Rattus norvegicus: one gene and its partners. The protein of the gene in region 1 interacts with the protein of each later gene in a biochemical or structural test. Links are inferred from orthologs where the notes say so. Each region holds a gene or a part of one and is shown on either strand. Other genes may lie near its edges.

Region 1 (5,796 bases):
TTAAAGATGTGTGCCACAGCTGCTAATGAAAATGTTATGTGTTGAAACAACCTAAGTGATAGTATTTCCCTCTTTCCATACCTTATATACAAGCACTATATCTGAGCAACCAGCCAAGTTGTCTTCCAATGGTTCGCCATAAGCCTTGGCCAAGCTGGCCTCAAACTTACAGAGATCCAAGTCCCTCTGCCTCCAGAGTGCTGATCAAAAGCCGTGTGCCACCACTGCCCAGCCTCACCATAAGCATCTGACAAAATGTTAACCAAAATCACCGTGCACTCACTCTATTTTGAGTAAAAGGTGTTATTCAACAGTAGAATCTGTGTATATGTTAATATTCATTTAATCTCCATAAATCTGGATGTGAATAAAAATTGATTTCATTACAGCAAGGAAAAAGTGTTTGAGAGGCTAGAGAGATGGCTCAGTGGTTAACAGCATGGACTACAATTCCCAGCAACCACATGGCAGTTCACAGTTGTCTGTAACTCCAAGATCCAGCACCCACACAGAGAGAAATACAGGTAACACATTAATGCACACAAAATAAAAATAAATTAAAATAAAAAATATTTGAAATATACTTATTTAATAATGCCTCAACAGAAAAAAATGTTAACAATCAACTTTTAATTAAATCTTAAAGGTATTATTTTACAGGCAAATTTTACCTAAGAAGCATTACTTATGAAAAATACATTTAAGAATGACCCAAAGATTAAGACTATATAAAATGACTAGTGGTGGAAGGCACTTTCATCCCAGCATTTGGGAGGCAGAAGCAAGTGGGTATCTGTTAATTCAAGGCTAGGCAGGTCTACATAGCAAGTAAGTACCAGAACAGCCAGGGCTACACAGAGAAAAACCCTGTCTCAAAACAAAACAAAATATGTGTTTAAGTATAACCTCTAGTTACTGTCCTCAAATACAACCTGGCATTTCTAGGTGAGGATTAGAAATTAACAGACTAGAAAGTTAAGCTCTGCTAGTAACCGACCGCCAGACACTTATTGTATGCCATTTTTAAAAACTGAACTCATCCGCCCTCTCGTCTCAGCATTTTCTCAATTTCCCATTACAATGAACAATGTAACCCAGCGGTCAAGTCTTCCAGACCAATAACCTCAGACTTTATTTTTAACTCCTGACTCCACAAATATTCTCCTTCAGTCCAATCCAAAGCCCTGCCAGCTTTTCCCTCATGAGTCCTCAAATCTCTTCCTTTCATCCCATGTTCACATTTCACTGTGATCTCTAACATAGTCTACTATCTCCCAAAAGGCTTCTAATGTCTCTCCCTTCAGCTATCCAAATCCCTTCAGAACGTCTTGTTCAGCAATGCACAGTTAGTGCAGACAGATAGCTCCTAGATCCCCACCCGAACCTACAGGCCTTTTCTGCCCTTTATTAACTTACTTTCCTCTAAGCCTCAGCTCCCACGTCCCGGTTCTCCCGTGTAGGCTGGGGTAATTGAGATATACCACCTTACCTCCCATACAGAACAGACTGGCTGGGCCTGCCTTCTACCCAGTGCACTGCTTGTGTCTCCACAGGCTCATGGACTTAGCCAGCACCTGTTTTAAGAAGCACCTCTGCGGAAACCTCCCTGCTCCTTCCTCATCACCCTTTTCCTGTGTCCCTCTGAACAAATGGTTCACTTGGCGTTTTATAATACTGCGGTTATCAGGCTTATCGCCTTCGCCCTTTTCTGAATGTGTATGCCTTTACATCAGAGGCTCTGGGAACAAGGACTTAATGTCATACATGCCTTTTTGAACACCAGCACCCTAACAAATTCCTCTTTCATCTATGTGTCCTTAATATCAAGGTTATTTTTAAAAAAAAAATAGTAATAATTAGCATCTTTTTAATGTTGACTGATATGGTAAATATAAAATTAAAACACTTTAAACTATATTCCTCTGGGATTTCCTCCACCCTAAAGAAACTCTATCAAGGCTAAGTTGTTTTCAAAGAAAATCCTGGAAACAAGAAGAGAAATTCCCAACTTTGGTATTTTAGTCTGGCATTACAGATCTCTGAAATAAACCTCATAAATGGTCTAAAATTGACTGGGTTTTTTTTTTTTTTAAACTAGTCAAAGCACAAATACTGAAGTACCATGAAAGGCTCTTCAGTAGTTACCATGAAGTCTACTTCATCATCACTGAAAATGACCCTAGCATTTTTTAAAATTCCTTTCAAATGACTCCATAAAGTGCTTAGAAAGCATGACCCTTCCCTGAAAGATGTGAAATCAGCTTCCCTCTTAACATGCCCTGCGTTCTAAATTGGCTAGTCACTCACTGAAGGAAAGAAAAAAGTTAACTTGCAAAAATCTCTCCCACTCAGCTATCGCTCTGGATACAACTTTGGACTTCTCTGTTCCAGACAAGGTCCAAAAGCCTACAGAACTGCAATCCTGCATGCAGCTGGAGGATTCCTCACTCCCAGTTGCTTAATCAATTGCACATAACAATCCTGCGTGCAACTGGAGGATTCCTCACTCCCAGTTGCTTAATCAATTGCACATAACAGCACATGCATTTTAACTTTTTAAAAATCTTAGTTCTTCAGTTACAGCAGCTCCTCTCAGCCACAAAACAGTTTTATCTATCTCCTCCCTCTTCTTTCTCAAGGAATAAGGAAAATACCATAGATATTTTGGCCAGAATCTGCAACTATGTTCTAATAAGCTGTCATGAAATACCACATAAACATCTCCACAAATAGATACATTTGAACACTGGATACTCGGTATACCAAACACTTCAAGAACACAGACTTTTTTTTTTTTTCAGCACAGATTCCCCAGCAAAAGACTGACAGATACTCATAGATACATTTTAAATCAGCCTAAAAAGGTATCCACTTGTACTCTTTAAAAAAAAAATTAACAAGTAATAAATGCAACACCACTTCAAAATTAAACTTAAATGACAGTCAGTGACAACACTTAACTTAGTATTTGGCAATATGGCAATACAACCTCAATCAAAAGTTGAATCTCCAAGTTACCTTTTGATTACACAAATTATATGGTGGCAGATTGGTAATGTCAAAACAGGAAGGTTAAGAGATAACACATTAAACCACTTAAAAATTAAAAACAATGCACTCAGAGATGCATCTGCTGCGGGATATTTCTCAGCTCCCACCAGCCCGGAGAAGAGTGAGGGATGGATACTAGCTCGCCTCCAACGGGAATGTGGGTTACCAAGCAAGTTCCTCCCCAGATTCAAAAATACTTTGTGTAGTCACACAGGCAAAAAGGAAATATTAGGAGGCTGGGGCATTTAGTATCTCTATTTAGAATGCAGACCCGTGATAACCTGAGCTAACTAAAATAAACCCCCTCATTCCAGAAGACACGGACTCGGCAAATGTACATCATGGTTTATTAATCAAGCGTTGTCCTCTTTATTCAAAGGGATGGGCAAGCGAAAGCTTCCACCGCTTAACCCGGAGGCACTGGGGCACTTGAAAAGACTGACTACCAACAGCACGGAGAACGTAAGAAAATAAGTTTCGAATCCAATCAGCCAAATAAAACTAATATTCTCTCAATTCAAGGTTAATGAGGCTGGGGGAGGGGGGTATGGGTATGGGAGGAGAAAAAGGAGCTGCCTCATCTTGAGTCAAGACAGGTTTTGCCCTTTTCCACTACCACTGGCTGACTGACTGTTCTATCAGGTCTGTTAGTTTAGATCCTGGTATTTCGAGGTTTCTTATCTTAATGGTGAGGTGGAGAAAGGGTGTAAAATAAAATCGATACTCACTGCTAACTTTCATGCTACCAAAAGCTGAAGGCTGCTGCACTGGCTTGCAGCTCTCCGCAAAGGAGGTGGTTCTCGGTCGCCCCGACATGATGGCTCTTCTCGATTCACCTTTTCCTTCCTTAATCCTTTTCTTCCTTTTGTTTTATGTTAGGGTACTAGGTTAATAATAAATGCAGCATTAAGTTCTCCCGCAAGAAAAAAAAAAAAAAGACTTCGTTCTCTTGGCCTTTCACTCCTTTTGTATAGCTATTTAAGAAGAAAAAAAAAAGGAGCTATGTATTTCTTCAAGACAGATCGGTACGGATATTTAACACATAGATGATTTAGAGCTGGGGGGAAAATATAATTCTTTCACCTCCCTTTCCTGGGAGAGGAGAAAAAGGGTGGAGTGGAATCCTTAAAAAATATATATATATCACGTGAACGAGGGCAAATACTTGATTGAAAATAAGTACTCTGAGTATTATATTTTCCTCGGGGATTTTTTTCCGAGTCAATGAAGAAGGGAAGCGGCGGAAGGATCACGAGCCTCACGCTTGAAGAGAAGGGGGATGGGAAGGAGGGAGGAGATGGCTCGGAGATGCGACGGCAAACGCTGCGGCTCCGGCAGCAGAGGGATCCGGCGGTCTGACGGCGGCGGCGGCCGGGTGAATCGGAGGGCAGCGCAGTCGCGAGTCAGTGGCGGGCGGTGGCGGCGGCGGCTCCTCTCCTCATTGCGCCAGGAGCAGCTGCAGGCGGTGGCTGGATCCAGCGGCCATGGCGGCAGCGGCGGCGGAGGCAGCTCCCTTCAGACCCCAGGCAGCGGCTCCCTGACTGCTCCCCATACGCCGGGGACATGGGAACCAGGCAACCGCTTCCGTCCCTCGGGGTCCCCTCCCCCGTCCGCGGCCCCGGCACGGCCGGCCTCCGCCCCTCGCCTCTGCTGAGCGGCTGCTCGGGAAGTGTCCGCGCTGTGCCCCGAGCCCGAAGCCCTGTCAGCGGCTGCAGGGACGGCTCCTCCTCGCTGCCTTCCTTCCTTTGTCACTCGGCCCAGGCGGCGGCGACGGCGGCGACACAAGCCCGCATTCGGCCGGGTCGGGGGCTGCTCTGTGCGAGGCGCGCCGTCTGCGCAGTCGCCTAGCCCTTCCCCACTCCCCCCTCCCCCTTCCTACTCGTCCTCCGCCTCCTTCCTCCCCCACCCAGCCTTACACCGCCCAGCGCCCCGCCGCCCGCGTAACAGGCGTCTGGGAATCGCTCGCCGAGCCCGCGCCCGCCAGCTTCGGCTGTGGAGCCGAAACCTAAGCTGGAACCAATCAAAGACGTCGTTTGCTTGCAGCTCCGGCCGGAAAAAGCCGAGCGGCCTAAATAACCAATGAGGAGACGCCGCTGGGAGACCACGCCCCGGCAACGAGGAATGCCGAAGGTAGCCGAAAAGAGGGAAAGAGGGTTCGCCTTGTTCTGTGGCTGGCTGGAGAAAAGATTCGACAATAGCGACAGTGGCCAATCGGAGCTCTAGGCCCGCAGGGGGAAGCCTGAAGAGTTAAGGACAGCGAAACTCCCGAGTCGCGGGAGGAACTACTCGGCTGGGCACCGCGCCCGTTTCCTCATTGGCTGGACAACTCCACCGGGCGTGTTCTTTTCTCAGTGATTGGTGAAGGGAAGGGGGCTTCCGAGGACATCTGGCCAGTCAGAGCCTCCCCTCCCTCTTTGAGGCGGGGAGAAGACGAAAGCGGAGGGAGTGCATCTATAAAGTGCCATCTCATTGGTCTGCAGCATCGGAGCTGTAGCGCGGGGGAGGGGAGCCGCAAAAGGGAGAAGGAGGGTGTAGGAGCCCGTGGCGGCGGCCAATGGGCGACCACTGCTGTGTAATCGCAAGACCTAGCTGCAGTGGGATTGGCCTCGGGTGGTCCCTAGAGCGGGCGGACCGGCTGAGTGGTCGGCCTGCGTCTGCTCTCCGACCCGACGCTCGTGCTGGCTGTGCAGCCGGTCTGAAAATGCTGGCGGTCGGAGGGCCGAGCCGCGAGCGCTCTAGTGGGAC
Region 2 (5,796 bases), on another chromosome or scaffold:
AAGCGCTCTACCACTGAGCTAAATCCCCAACCCCAGGGCAGACATTTCTTTTTTTTTCTGTAGTCTCCCAAGGAGCCTTTTCTGCCTGACCCCCAGGATTCTGCCTCCATTCCCAACCGTGCTGGGCCTTCTACTGCTCACCTCTCTGGAGCTCCTCCGGTTTCCCAAGTACCCCTTCAGAAGCCCCCACCCAGTCCAGGTCGCTGCCCCAACCTGCGGGACATACTTTACCTCTTCATAGGGGCTACGTTTGGTAGTGGCAGGGGGCACATAGCGTCCGTGAGTGTGGTAGGTAGGATATTCACTCATAGGATGGTAGGTGTCCCGGGTTGGAAAGAGGTCCAGCTGCCCATAGCTCTTTCTGCGGCACTGGCACAATGCCTGGGGAGACAGGGGATTGTCTTGGCCAATGGGATTCATTTACCAGGGGTGACACCGCAGAAGGACTGAGACTTACCAGGGCAATGAGATAGACGATGACCAAAGCCACCAAAATACAGACCAGTACCAGCAGGGCAATGCCCCAACCTGGTACCCCAGGCCAAGACTGGGCAGAGGAAGGGAACTGCATCTCATTCACTAGAAGGGAAAACAGTGGTCAGGGAAGTCCCCAAAGGAGGTGGATTTCCCACTCCCAGCACCAAAGGTAAACAGGTGGTGCCAGGGTGCAGCTGGGGCTGTCACCTCACCATTGACTTCCGAGATAGTCAGATTATAGTCAGCTGCCTCCTTCTTATGTTGTACGAGCTGTGACTTCACTTCAGAGGCACTGAAAGTGCCCTCCCGGAAAATCACAGTCGATGCTACCACCACCGAGCCTGACCTGGTCGCAGGAAATAGGGGGCTCAGATCGACTCTCTGCTTATAGCTCAGCATCCCCACCCCACCCGCCACACCCCCATCCCGGACATCACAAAGTTGCGGGACTGTCCATCCCTCCCACAGGGCAAATCCAGAATTATACCTGAACTTGATAGTAGAGACCCCCAGAAAGTCTCCGTTAAAAACCTGCAGAAACTGGGATAGGAGGAGAAGACTCGGGTTTGATGTAAAAGATTCGTGTGGTCCCGAAGAGCTATATCAGGGCAGCATGGCCGAGACCAGGCTGATACCCACCAATCCGGAAATGTTCCTCTTCAGTTCTTGGTAGTAGCGGGAGCTGGGGTCTTCCAGGGAAGAATTAAATGGGTGGTTCCGAATGTAAAAAGACAACGAGAAGAAGGAGACCCCGACAGACAACTGGGGTGAGCTGTTACTGGAGAAGGTAGGGAAGACCGCTGTGCTGTAGTAAGAGCTGCTGCTAACAGTACTGTGGCTGGAGATGGCGGGGATGGTGGGAGAGATGGGCTGCTGACTTGGAACTGAAGACTGAGTGTCATTGCGGACTGGAGTTGTGGCCACCGCAGAGGTATCATGGGCTGGACTGGTGGCTAAGCCCAACACAGAACTGGTAGTTCGCACCAAGGAGCCATTGTGGTCTGGGGTGATAGCTGACGTAGCCGTGGTAGAAGAGAATGGGGTGCCACTGTACACTGGAGTGGTGGCCATGTCTGATTCAGAGCTATTAGTTGTAGCTGAGGAACCACTGTACACCGGACTGGTGGCTGAGCTCAATGCAGACCAGGTAGTTGGGACCATGATGCCATTGTGGGTTGGAGTGCTAGCTAAGTCTGATACAGCCTTGGTGGTTTGGGTGGAAGCACCGCTGAGGACTGCAGTGCTGGAGGAGTCCCCTGGAGGGCTGGTGGCTGGGGACGAGGTGCCACTGTGGATTGCAGTGCTGGAGGAGTCCAATATAGGGCTGGTGGCTGGGGACGAGGTGCCACTGGTGACTGCAGTGCTGGTGGAGTCCTCTGGAGGGCTGGTGGCTGGGGACGAGGTGCCACTGGTGACTGCAGTGCTGGTGGAGTCCTCTGGAGGGCTGGTGGCTGGGGACGAGGTGCCACTGAGGACTGCAGTGCTGGAGGAGTCCAATATAGGGCTGGTGGCTGGGGACGAGGTGCCACTGGTGACTGCAGTGCTGGAGGAGTCCCCTGGAGGGCTGGTGGCTGGGGACGAGGTGCCACTGGTGACTGCAGTGCTGGAGGAGTCCTCTGGAGGGCTGGTGGCTGAGGAAGAGGTGCCACTGGTGACTGCAGTGCTGGTGGAGTCCCCTGGAGAGCTGGTGGCTGGGAACGAGGTGCTACTATGAACTGGGGAGGTGGTGGAGTCCACTGGAGGGCTGGTGGCTGAGGAAGAGGCACCATTGGGGACTGCAGTGCTGGAGGAGTCCCCTGGAGGGCTGGTGGCTGGATCTGAGTCACCACTGAGGACTGCAGTGCTGGTGGAGTCTCCTGGAGGGCTGGTGGCTGGGAACGAGGTGCTACTATGAACTGGAGAGGTGGTGGAGTCCACTGGAGGGCTGGTGGCTGAGGAAGAGGCACCACTGGGGACTGCAGTGCTGAAGGAGTCCCCTGGAAGGCTGGTGGTTGAGGAGGAGGCACCACTGCGGACTGGAGTGATAGTCGATGTTAAGGAAACTGCTGGTGTCCTGAGATAAGGTGACACTATTTTTCTGACTTGGAAGGGCAGGAAAACCTGAGCCAGAGTGGAAGATGAGGGGGTTTCATGCTCACAGCACCAATCAACAGAGTTGGACACTGGGTTGCTTTAGATAGCATGTGTGATGTTTTAGTTCTGGCTAGAGCCAGAGTTTAAAAAAAAAAGGGGGGGGGGAAACCTACTGGGTTAATGAATAAAATCAGAGCAAGAAGAAAAATATAAACTCCGAAACCAAAGTAACCCCGGAAGGAAGGGGGGTCAGGTTAACATCAGGTAGTCCTACGTTTGCCTTCATCCTTCCTGACAGCCTCCCTCCTCAAAGGTCTCACCTCTGCTTCTGGCTCATTCACTCCTCTACTGCTTATCTCTGAGACAGGTATTCATACTGTACCCTAGGCTGGCCTTGAACTCTCTGTGAACCCGAGTGTCCTGAGTGTGGGAATTGTAGACTGGAACCACACGGCCCCATTCTTCCACTCCGGAGCTGGAGCTGCTTCTCCTGACGCAGCCTCTCTTCTCTACTCCCCACGAAGAGCATTTGCCTACTCTGGTGCCCACTCTCTTGGGGGAGTCACCTCTTCTCAGCCTCCTTCCTTAGCCTCTTTCCCTCCGGCACATACTGGGCCATCCCTGAGTGGATGGCCACTTATGACTCTCATTGTGCCAGAAAGACTGAGTCCCACCTGAACAGTGCAGCCCCTCCCCACCTTGTACCTCTCACCTTTTAGGCTTGCTAGAAGTAGCAGCAGGAGGAGAGGAACCCGTATGCCCGGGGTCATGGTGGTGGTGAACAGGCGGGAAAGGGGTAGAAACAGACTCAAGGCTGGCGCTGCGTGTGTGCGCTGGAACAGGGCTGGTGCCTGCTGCTTTATACCAGTCCCCCTCCCGCCCTAGGCACAGTCAGAGCAGGTGACAGGTAACAAAACTCCACCCCCTCCCCTATTCTTTCCTCCTCCTCCCCAGTCATTCCTGTGTAGGGTACTTGGGCTCCAATCACTCAACCATATGACAACCTGTTTATTCTCCATTTGGCCTCCCACTTTTACCAACCACTCTTTGAGTACCCCAGGTGTGTATGTGGAGGAAATCTGGGGGCCCTGGCTCTGGTTTTAGTCCCAGAGCAACAGCCAAGAAGAGTAAGGGAAACACAGAAAGACCCTGGACAACAAGGGAAGCCCGTTTCCCGCTCCCCCTCCCCGATCCCTTTTCCTATTCTCTCTGAGGATCCTTAAAAACCACTTCTCATAAGTTGAGAGGACATAAGGGGGATAATAGTGGACAGGTCGCTAGTTTTAGCGCCCCCCCCCCCCGCCACTTCCCGGAACAGCCCCACCCTTCTAACCGCTCCCTGTACTCTGAAAACCACAGTCCCCGCCCCTGCCAGACTTTCCAGTAGCCTGGGTCTCTCTTTGACTTTCTCCGGAGAAAGGCGATGGGGGAAATTTCCACTTAAAAAGGACGAAACTCCAGGCTCCACTGAAGCCTAAGGTCCTTCCTACTCAACCCTCCACCTTGAGTGGCAGGCTGACCAGTCCTTCTACCCGGAAACGCCTGCCCTCTAGTGGTCACCGCGAGCGTCGCGCGGCGTACTCGCACAGGCTGAAGGGTTGCTTCTGTGTAGGGAGGTTTTGGAAGCACAGCCCAAGTTGAGGCACATATCTTAGGGAAGTTAGTTGTGTCTTGGCGGAAAGAATCAACGCCTTCGACAGATAAAAATGCACAGTGTCGGGAAGAAGCAGGGATCATTACTTGGGTTACTCTGACTTCTGGGGATGGTGTTTGGGGACAGGGGATAAGTGGTTGGAGCCCCAAGGTATGTGGAAGGGGGTATCGAGTTGTGTGATGACACTGAATTGGCAAAGGGGGACGGGACAGGTTATGTACAGGTAGCTAGATATTCAGGAGGCAAAGAGTAGGTGGGGCGATCGTGGAACTTGGGAACTTCGAGATGTATCTGGAAGAGGAACAATATTTGGGGCGAACAAGCACGTGGAACAAGGCAAACCCGTGTGTGTGTGTGTGTGTGTGTGTGTGTGTGTGTGTGTGTGTGTGTGTGTGTGTGTGTGTGTGTGTGTTTAGGGAGAACCGAGAGGTATTCTGACGGGCAGAAATAGTTGGGTTTGGGTGAACAAGCACGTGGAACAAGGCAAACCCGTGTGTGTGTGTGTGTGTGTGTGTGTGTGTGTGTGTGTGTGTGTGTGTTTAGGGAGAACCGAGAGGTATTCTGAAGGGCAGAAATAGTTGGGTTTGGGTTCACAGCAGCACTCGGACTGAGGATACCAGGCCAGATCCCGCAAGCGTAGGTTGCGGTGTAAACCAGCAGGAGCAGTTACAACTGTAGTAGGCAAACAGTTCTTAGTTCCAACCAATACAAAACCGAAACTAATACTTTAAAAACATTTCGGAGGTGCATGAACGGAGGCGTGGGTCCCACGCTCCCGCCGTGTGTCCCGCCTGTGAGCGGCTTTGTCAGGCCAGCTCCAGGCGGAGTGGGGACGCCCTACGTCAGCTCGCCCACAAGTATTTAGGTGGGCGGCACCAAACCCCAACTCCCAGGATTGCCAGGCAACAGCCATTCAATTCGGTTGCTGGGACACCAGTCACCATGGCAATGGCTCCGCGCCTCTCAGTCTGAGTATTTAAAGAGCAAGGGCGCGCACAGCTTTGGCGTTGGAAAGTGGCCTTCCGGGGCACCAGAAGCTCCCCTTCCCTCCTCATCCTTTCCCTCTCGCCACCTCACTCTCCTGGGTGTCCAGGCTCTGGTGCACCTCTAAGGTGACCCAAACTCCCCAGAGCACTCCTGTCCCTGGGCTCCAGCGACCCAGGAGGTAGGGAGCGGGATTCCAGAGCCCCGGGTGGGCAGGAGGGACGGGACGCGGTGCAGTGTTGTTCTTTCCCCTGCCAATATTGCACTCGTCCCGGCCTCCGGCCCCCTCGGCCCCCCCGGCGCCCCCTCACTCAGAGTGGGGCAGCCCCAGCCACCGGGCTTTCGATCTCTACCGAGCTTAGACTGAAGTGTCGCCACTACCACGGTGAGTAAGTGGGGCTGGAAGGACTTTAGCCACCCTCCAACCTCATCCTTCATTTGGTACTTTTCCCACCCATACCTCGATTCAGTCAAACTTTCCCTAGCATTCTAACCTGCAGCTACCAGTCTTTCTTAACAGCACTCCCCCTCCCCCCAGGTTCCTTTCTGTCCCGGAAAAGGCCTAAAATAAATAATTGCACTGACTTAGAAAATAACTGAAACTTTAT
Region 3 (5,796 bases), on another chromosome or scaffold:
TAAACCAACTTCTGCCAAGCAATAGGCTGATGCTGAGAGAAGTCTTGGTTTTTGTCCGGACTAAGACCTGCCTGGCCCTGTGCAACCTAACATCCAGGCACATAGTGTTAAAGAATCCACCTCGGACTGGGCTATGGTGTCTCACACCTTTAATCCCAGAGCTTGGGACGCAGAGGCAGGTGGATCTCTGAGTTCGAGCCAGCCTGTTTTACACAGTGAGTTCTAGGACTGGCAGGGAAACACAGAGAAATCCTGTATCCAAAAAAAAAGTGGGGGGGGGAGGAGGGGAGAAAAGAAAGAAAGAAAGAAAGAAAGAGAGAGAGAGAGAGAGAGAGAGAGAGAGAGAGAGAGAGAGAGAAAGAAAGGAAGAAAGAAAATAGAAAGATTTTGGCTTAGACGTGCTCTCACCAACCCTGTACCACCCAGCAGCGCCCAACAGCAAACTGCCTGGCTCCCTGCTCTTCTCTCCTCTGTGGCAAGGCTGGAGGCAATCCCAGCACTAACTCCACCCTTCCCATCCTTTCAAAAAATCAGTTTTGTGTTTTTCTAGTTACACCATCCCTAGCAATCTGTGCTTCCTCCACAAGTAGTGAAATTGCATCCAACATCCCTTGCCCGAGGATCACGGCTTCGAACCACCATCTCATCCTCAAGGATTCTTGGTGGTTAAAGAAGCGCACGGAGGGAGAACCAGCATGGCGGATCTGACATGGCCGAATCTAGGCAGCACAAGGAAGCTGCTTCCTCACCCTTCCCCTCAGAGGCTGTCGGTGGTTTGAGTGCCCACCGATCGTCATTCTCTTGTTCATGACATCTCTGTGAGTATCCTGGTAGAGGGTTGATGAATGGTGTGATACTGAGTAGCTGTGCTTACAGTTTGTACGTTTCTGTGTGCTAGAAGGGGAGCTAGAAGGAAAAATGCCTCTTTCTTATTCTCCCAGATGCTCTGTATTGGAGAAAGGTTTGGATTTTTTTTTTTTAAAAATAACTGGCTTTGATATTTGATATTTTGAGATAACTGGATTCCCGTAAGTTGTAAGAAACAATATGGAGAGACCCTCTACATGTTTTATTTGGTTTTCTCACTCTGCAGAACTATAGCACAGTACAAGCAGAAAATAATAAACCAGGCCTGGGTCGGCTGGGGTCCCCAGGAAAATCTCTTTCACTAGTTCTGCTTTGCGAGCACTACATTCTAGGCAGTTTTGACACATATGCGATGTTCTTCTGAATCTTAGTCTGTGAAGGGCTTTCTGTGTGATGCTCTGGCTTCCGGGCCTTCCAGCTTCCTGCTTTCGAAACGCTATGGTGTCCACCTCCTCAGGGAGATTGTCACCGAGAGGTCACATCTGTTGGCTTCAGGAGCCTGAACTTGCCAGTTTCCTTTCTGTCGCCTACAACTCTCGGTGGCAAGAGGACTTTGTCCAGGTTCTTGTGGAAATAACTTATGGATATAATAAATCAAGACAGATCCTTCCTTCCACAAGGACTACGCATGGATCCTGCAAAGATGTTGCCTCGGGGCCCATAGCTCCCTCCACCTCTAGCCTGGATTTGAGATCCTGTTTGACTACTTGGTTTTAGGAAGCATAGGGAAGGGGAGAGCACTGAGATTTTGTTAGCACCTTTTTTAGTGAGGGTAGCATGTAGAGGAGGCTTGGGAGACAAAGGCAGGATGGGGACCCACCCACCAACCTTGATGGCAGAAGGACCACCAATTCCAATGACATTCTGCTTTGTGCGGCTGTCACAGAGGGTTAACTGCACCCTCTGAAGTTTATACACGGGGCAAGGCACCTATGAGAACGAGGCTTCTAGAAAAGGTGGAACGTCCAGAGCGCTCAATGCTCTATAGGGTCCACTGCTCTTCCGGGCCCTTTCCCATGACTTTCAAAGGGTTCTCTAGAGCTGGGAAAACCAGGGTGACCTGCAGGTGACAGAGGTACCCAAACCTCCACTTAAGGTCAATCAAGCTGGGGTCTTCACTCTTCAGAAACGTTGTGGGTCCTGTGCCAAGCGCCAGGTGCTAGGTGCCTCTGAGAGGAAACGGAGGTGGTGGGCAAGGGACCGCTGGTGAGCCGAGGCGACCTCTGGGTGCAGGACGATCACGCCGAGCCAGGGCGTTCCCAAATTCAAATCTCTCTGGCGGGGGCTCGCACCCGCCGACTCTCTGCGGCTACCCGCTCCTCCCTCGGCTGCGGCGGGAGGAGGAGCCGCGCCCTGGCCGGCGTCCCCTTGACTCCTCCCTGCGCGGCCAGGCTCTTCCTCCCCCGCGGCCCGATCTCCGGGTGGCAGCGGCTGAGCCGGGAGCGAGCGCGCTGGGCGCGGCCGTCCCGTGCCGCCGGGCCAAGCCTGAGAGTCCCGCGGTCATGGTCTGTGCGGTGGCGCGGGGCGCCTAAACCCCAGGACGCGGTAAGCTACAAGCTGGGGAGCCACGGGGGTCACGCGGCCTGGGAGAGCGAAGAGGCCTCGGCTGCCAATGCGCCGTCTACGAGGCACCCCGAGCGCCCTGAGCGGCGCAAGCCCGCAGATCCCGGTCCAGCACGCGGTGGCGGCCCCGGAGGGGCTCTGTCGCCAGCGGGTGGCGGCGGCGGGGGGGGAGGGGCGACGGCGGGGGCGGAGGATGCGCCGGCGCGCTTTTGTAAGTGCTGGCCCCTTACATATGGAAATGACGCCGGCGCGGGTCCCTAGTCGCGTCCTCTGGAAGGACGCGTGCCCGGATCGGCGGCGCGGGCTGCTCGGTGTCGCGGCGCTCGCGGGGCCCTAACAAAGCGCCCTTTCCTTGCAGAGCTCCGGAGGCGGCCGGCGTGGGCGCTCCCCAGAGGCCGAAGGAAGGTAGGCGAGGTCGGCGGGGCCGGACCACGGGTCTGGCGAGTGAGCTCTGCGACCCGCGGGTGGACAGGTGGAGTGGGGACGCCGCTCGGGTTGCTAGGAACCTGGGCTGGCCCGCCCTCCCGCCACACCTCCGCCTCCCAGACCTGAGGCGCCCGGAGCTGAAAGCTGCTACTGTGCCTCGCTCTAGCCGCGGGCAGGAGCCGGAGCTAGCAGAAAGGGTTCTTGTTCTGTGGGTCGAGGCCACCCAGGCAGCCCCGAGATCCAGAAGCTGAAGGGGAAGCCTGCGTGGGAAGCCCCTGGGTGCGGATCTGAACCTCTTGGGAGCGCAGAGCTGCTTGGAGTCCTAAAAGTGGAGATTTTAGAAGGTGCGTAGGATCCGTGCAGGTAGAGACTTCTGGGTGCAGCTAGCAGGAAAGGGTGGCAATACATCTTGACAGTTGCTCTGGAAAAAAACTGCGATCTCCAGAGCAGAGGAGTGTGGAATGAAGTGAGGAGAGAGTGTAGGTGGGAGAGAAGTATCCAAGACTCAGGTCTGAACTGCAGTACCACCCCCACTTCCCCTAAAAAGACAACGCTGATGGAAACCAGCCTCCGCTTAGAGCTCTGTGAATTCGAGAGAGATTGGAAAGGATGATGCTCCTAGCCTCAGCCCTGAAGGCGCAAACGAAAGGGGAGCTGGAATCGTGCACTGCCACGGATCGTATCTCCAGACAACTTTATTATGACACGGTCTCATCGTCCCTTACCTGGGACAGACCCTTTCCTGGCGTTACAACTCAACCAAAACAGACTGTGGTTGTGTACATGACTGCCACGGTAGCTCACAGGGTGCTCATCCCAATTAATCTCATAGCACCTGAGCTAGGCTCTTGGGACCATGAACTATTTCTCAGTTGGGCTCGCTCTCATTTATCATCTTGGCATAAATTTAAGTATTTGCATGCTCCCCAAGGCTTAACGAACCCCCAAGGAAATACTTTCCTGGTGCCGATGTAGCTTATTCTAGGGTCTTCTGTTATGGTGAGCGCTGGCTATTAGAGGCTGACCTGGAATATTAGTATGTCTTGCTGTGGAATTGAAAGAAGTTGTGAAACACTCATCAGTAATATCACGGACTGGCTGGAAGAGGAGTTCGTGCCGTCTCTTCGGCTGTGGTTGGTGTTCATAGGGAGGTGATCTGGGCAGGAGGTATTGGCAACCTGCCTACTTTCAAGGCTCTCTGATGTTTTAGAGGGAAGCATTCTGAGCTGTGGTGTTGAGAAAGCAAATGGATTGCCAACGTACAGATGCTGGGGCAAGGAAGAGGAAGCCACCCTCTATGTGGCCCTCTTGTTGAAATGTCATGATCCAGCCATTTTAATGGGTGCTCGCTGAGAATGTCACAAGTTCTTTCTTTCTTATTCCCCTTTCATTTTAGATATGTAGTGGCCCTTCATATCAGAAGATGTTAACTCACAGGACAAGGCTAGGGCTCCACAGAATCCTGAACAGCCAATCTTAATTTAATAGTCAGTGTTCTTATCATGAGTCAAATGTTGTTCACATAAATTGTTTTAAATGTCACTGTAAATGACTTTCCAAACTAACATTTTACCAGTCTTGAGGCTTCCATTTTGGGTTGATAATGAAAATACATTTTATAAGTCTTACCCTGATAGAGGCTTGACAGTTACATCGCAGAGCGATTCAGACAGTCCAAGCCTTTTAGATAGCTACTTTTATAAATGCCAGCTCATTTGTAAGCCAATAAATAATGCAGTTTGAATTCTGGCTATTGATCTCACATCTATTGGCCAAAGTCTTGTGGGGCAGGCTCACTGAACCTCACAATGAAAGATACATTTATCTGATTGTATTTACAAGTAAGATCATTTAAAACGTTATGGAATTATGAGAAACATCATTAGAAATTAGCTCACTTCTTTACTGCCATTTGTATAAGCAATTAGACACATGACTCCACATGGGGAGTGCTCCAAGTGTCGATATCCTGATAGCTCAACACAGTTGGGGAAATATCATCTGTAGATGTGAGAACAGACGTTTTCCACTCAGACCCTAGGAGCTCACATCAGCCATCCTAAATTAATTTATGTAAATACAGCTCAAGAAATGAAAGTTGTTTCAGGCTTTCTTTCTCCCTTTCTTCCTTCCTTCCTTCCTTCCTTCCTTCCTTCCTCCCTTCCTTCCTTCCTTCCTTTCTTGCTTTCTTTCTTAAGTAGCAAACACAAAAATCTGTTTTGTTTTTCGTTTTGTGTATGGCTCCTGTAGTTTTGTAAGTCGTTGAACATAGGTTACTGGATCTGGTGTGCAAAGCTGCTGGCTTTCCTTAGCTGATTAGGTAATTCACCTGCTATTAGGTGTAACAAAAGCTGGATTCACACCAGCCTGCAGGGCAGTAAAATCCTACCGCTTGTTTAGGTTGAGAATAAATACTAGCTGGGTGCCCTTGGCACAATTAAATTTTAGAGTAGGGTTAGCAAAGCGAGCACTCTTCCAAACTCATTTGAATGTGGAGTCTCCCTGTTGGGTGGCATGTAGGGGTTTATATTTTTTTCTCCCTCAGCTCTGTTCCTGCTGGTGCTGTATTGCTTCTGGTTCGCAGCTTGAAGGGAGGAGGTCCTGTTTGAGTTGGGAGGAGGCATTTGGCAGTTTGTGGCAGAGCAGCAAACGGTACCTTGAAGAAATGTTTTTGGTAAAAATTGGGGGGTTGGGGGTGAGCAGGGCATTGCTTATTCTGGAGTTGGTGCTGCACTTGAGTTTCTTCTCCTTGTTATTTCCTTTTACAATTAGTGTAAGAGTAAGCCTGGAGAATTTTGCCGCTGATAAAGAGGCAGGAAAAAAGGGAAGAAAGAGGAACTTAATTTGATCATGGTCCATTATTAGGGTCTAATAAAGGCATAGGAGAGAAAAGCCTAAGCAGGCAGGGTTTGTCTGTGTTCATCGTTGCAGCCCCAAAGT

The links.
Region 2: the proteins of Gsk3b (region 1) and Muc1 form a complex in vitro, tested with the Homo sapiens proteins (2 studies listed by BioGRID). The link is inferred for Rattus norvegicus from reciprocal best matches to the Homo sapiens genes GSK3B and MUC1.
Region 3: of the proteins of Gsk3b (region 1) and Nin, one has a biochemical effect on the other in vitro, tested with the Homo sapiens proteins (2 studies listed by BioGRID and IntAct). The link is inferred for Rattus norvegicus from reciprocal best matches to the Homo sapiens genes GSK3B and NIN.

What each region holds. Positions count from the first base shown.
Region 1 is NC_086029.1:76,149,244-76,155,039, forward strand, and holds the start of Gsk3b (glycogen synthase kinase-3 beta), read right to left. Parts: upstream 4,007-5,796; 5' UTR 3,868-4,006; coding exon 3,780-3,867; intron 1-3,779. UniProt on the Homo sapiens protein: Constitutively active protein kinase that acts as a negative regulator in the hormonal control of glucose homeostasis, Wnt signaling and regulation of transcription factors and microtubules, by phosphorylating and inactivating glycogen synthase (GYS1 or GYS2), EIF2B, CTNNB1/beta-catenin, APC, AXIN1, DPYSL2/CRMP2, JUN, NFATC1/NFATC, MAPT/TAU and MACF1.
Region 2 is NC_086020.1:176,931,335-176,937,130, reverse strand, and holds the start of Muc1 (mucin-1 precursor), read right to left. Parts: upstream 3,382-5,796; 5' UTR 3,321-3,381; coding exon 3,263-3,320; intron 2,493-3,262; coding exon 1,117-2,492; intron 1,018-1,116; coding exon 965-1,017; intron 824-964; coding exon 690-823; intron 580-689; coding exon 458-579; intron 382-457; coding exon 232-381; coding exon of another isoform or gene 19-231; exon of another isoform or gene 1-18. UniProt on the Homo sapiens protein: The alpha subunit has cell adhesive properties. Can act both as an adhesion and an anti-adhesion protein. May provide a protective layer on epithelial cells against bacterial and enzyme attack.
Region 3 is NC_086024.1:94,360,118-94,365,913, reverse strand, and holds the start of Nin (ninein), read left to right. Parts: upstream 1-2,303; 5' UTR 2,304-2,412; intron 2,413-2,788; 5' UTR 2,789-2,835; exon of another isoform or gene 2,836-3,200; intron 3,201-5,796. UniProt on the Homo sapiens protein: Centrosomal protein required in the positioning and anchorage of the microtubule minus-end in epithelial cells. May also act as a centrosome maturation factor.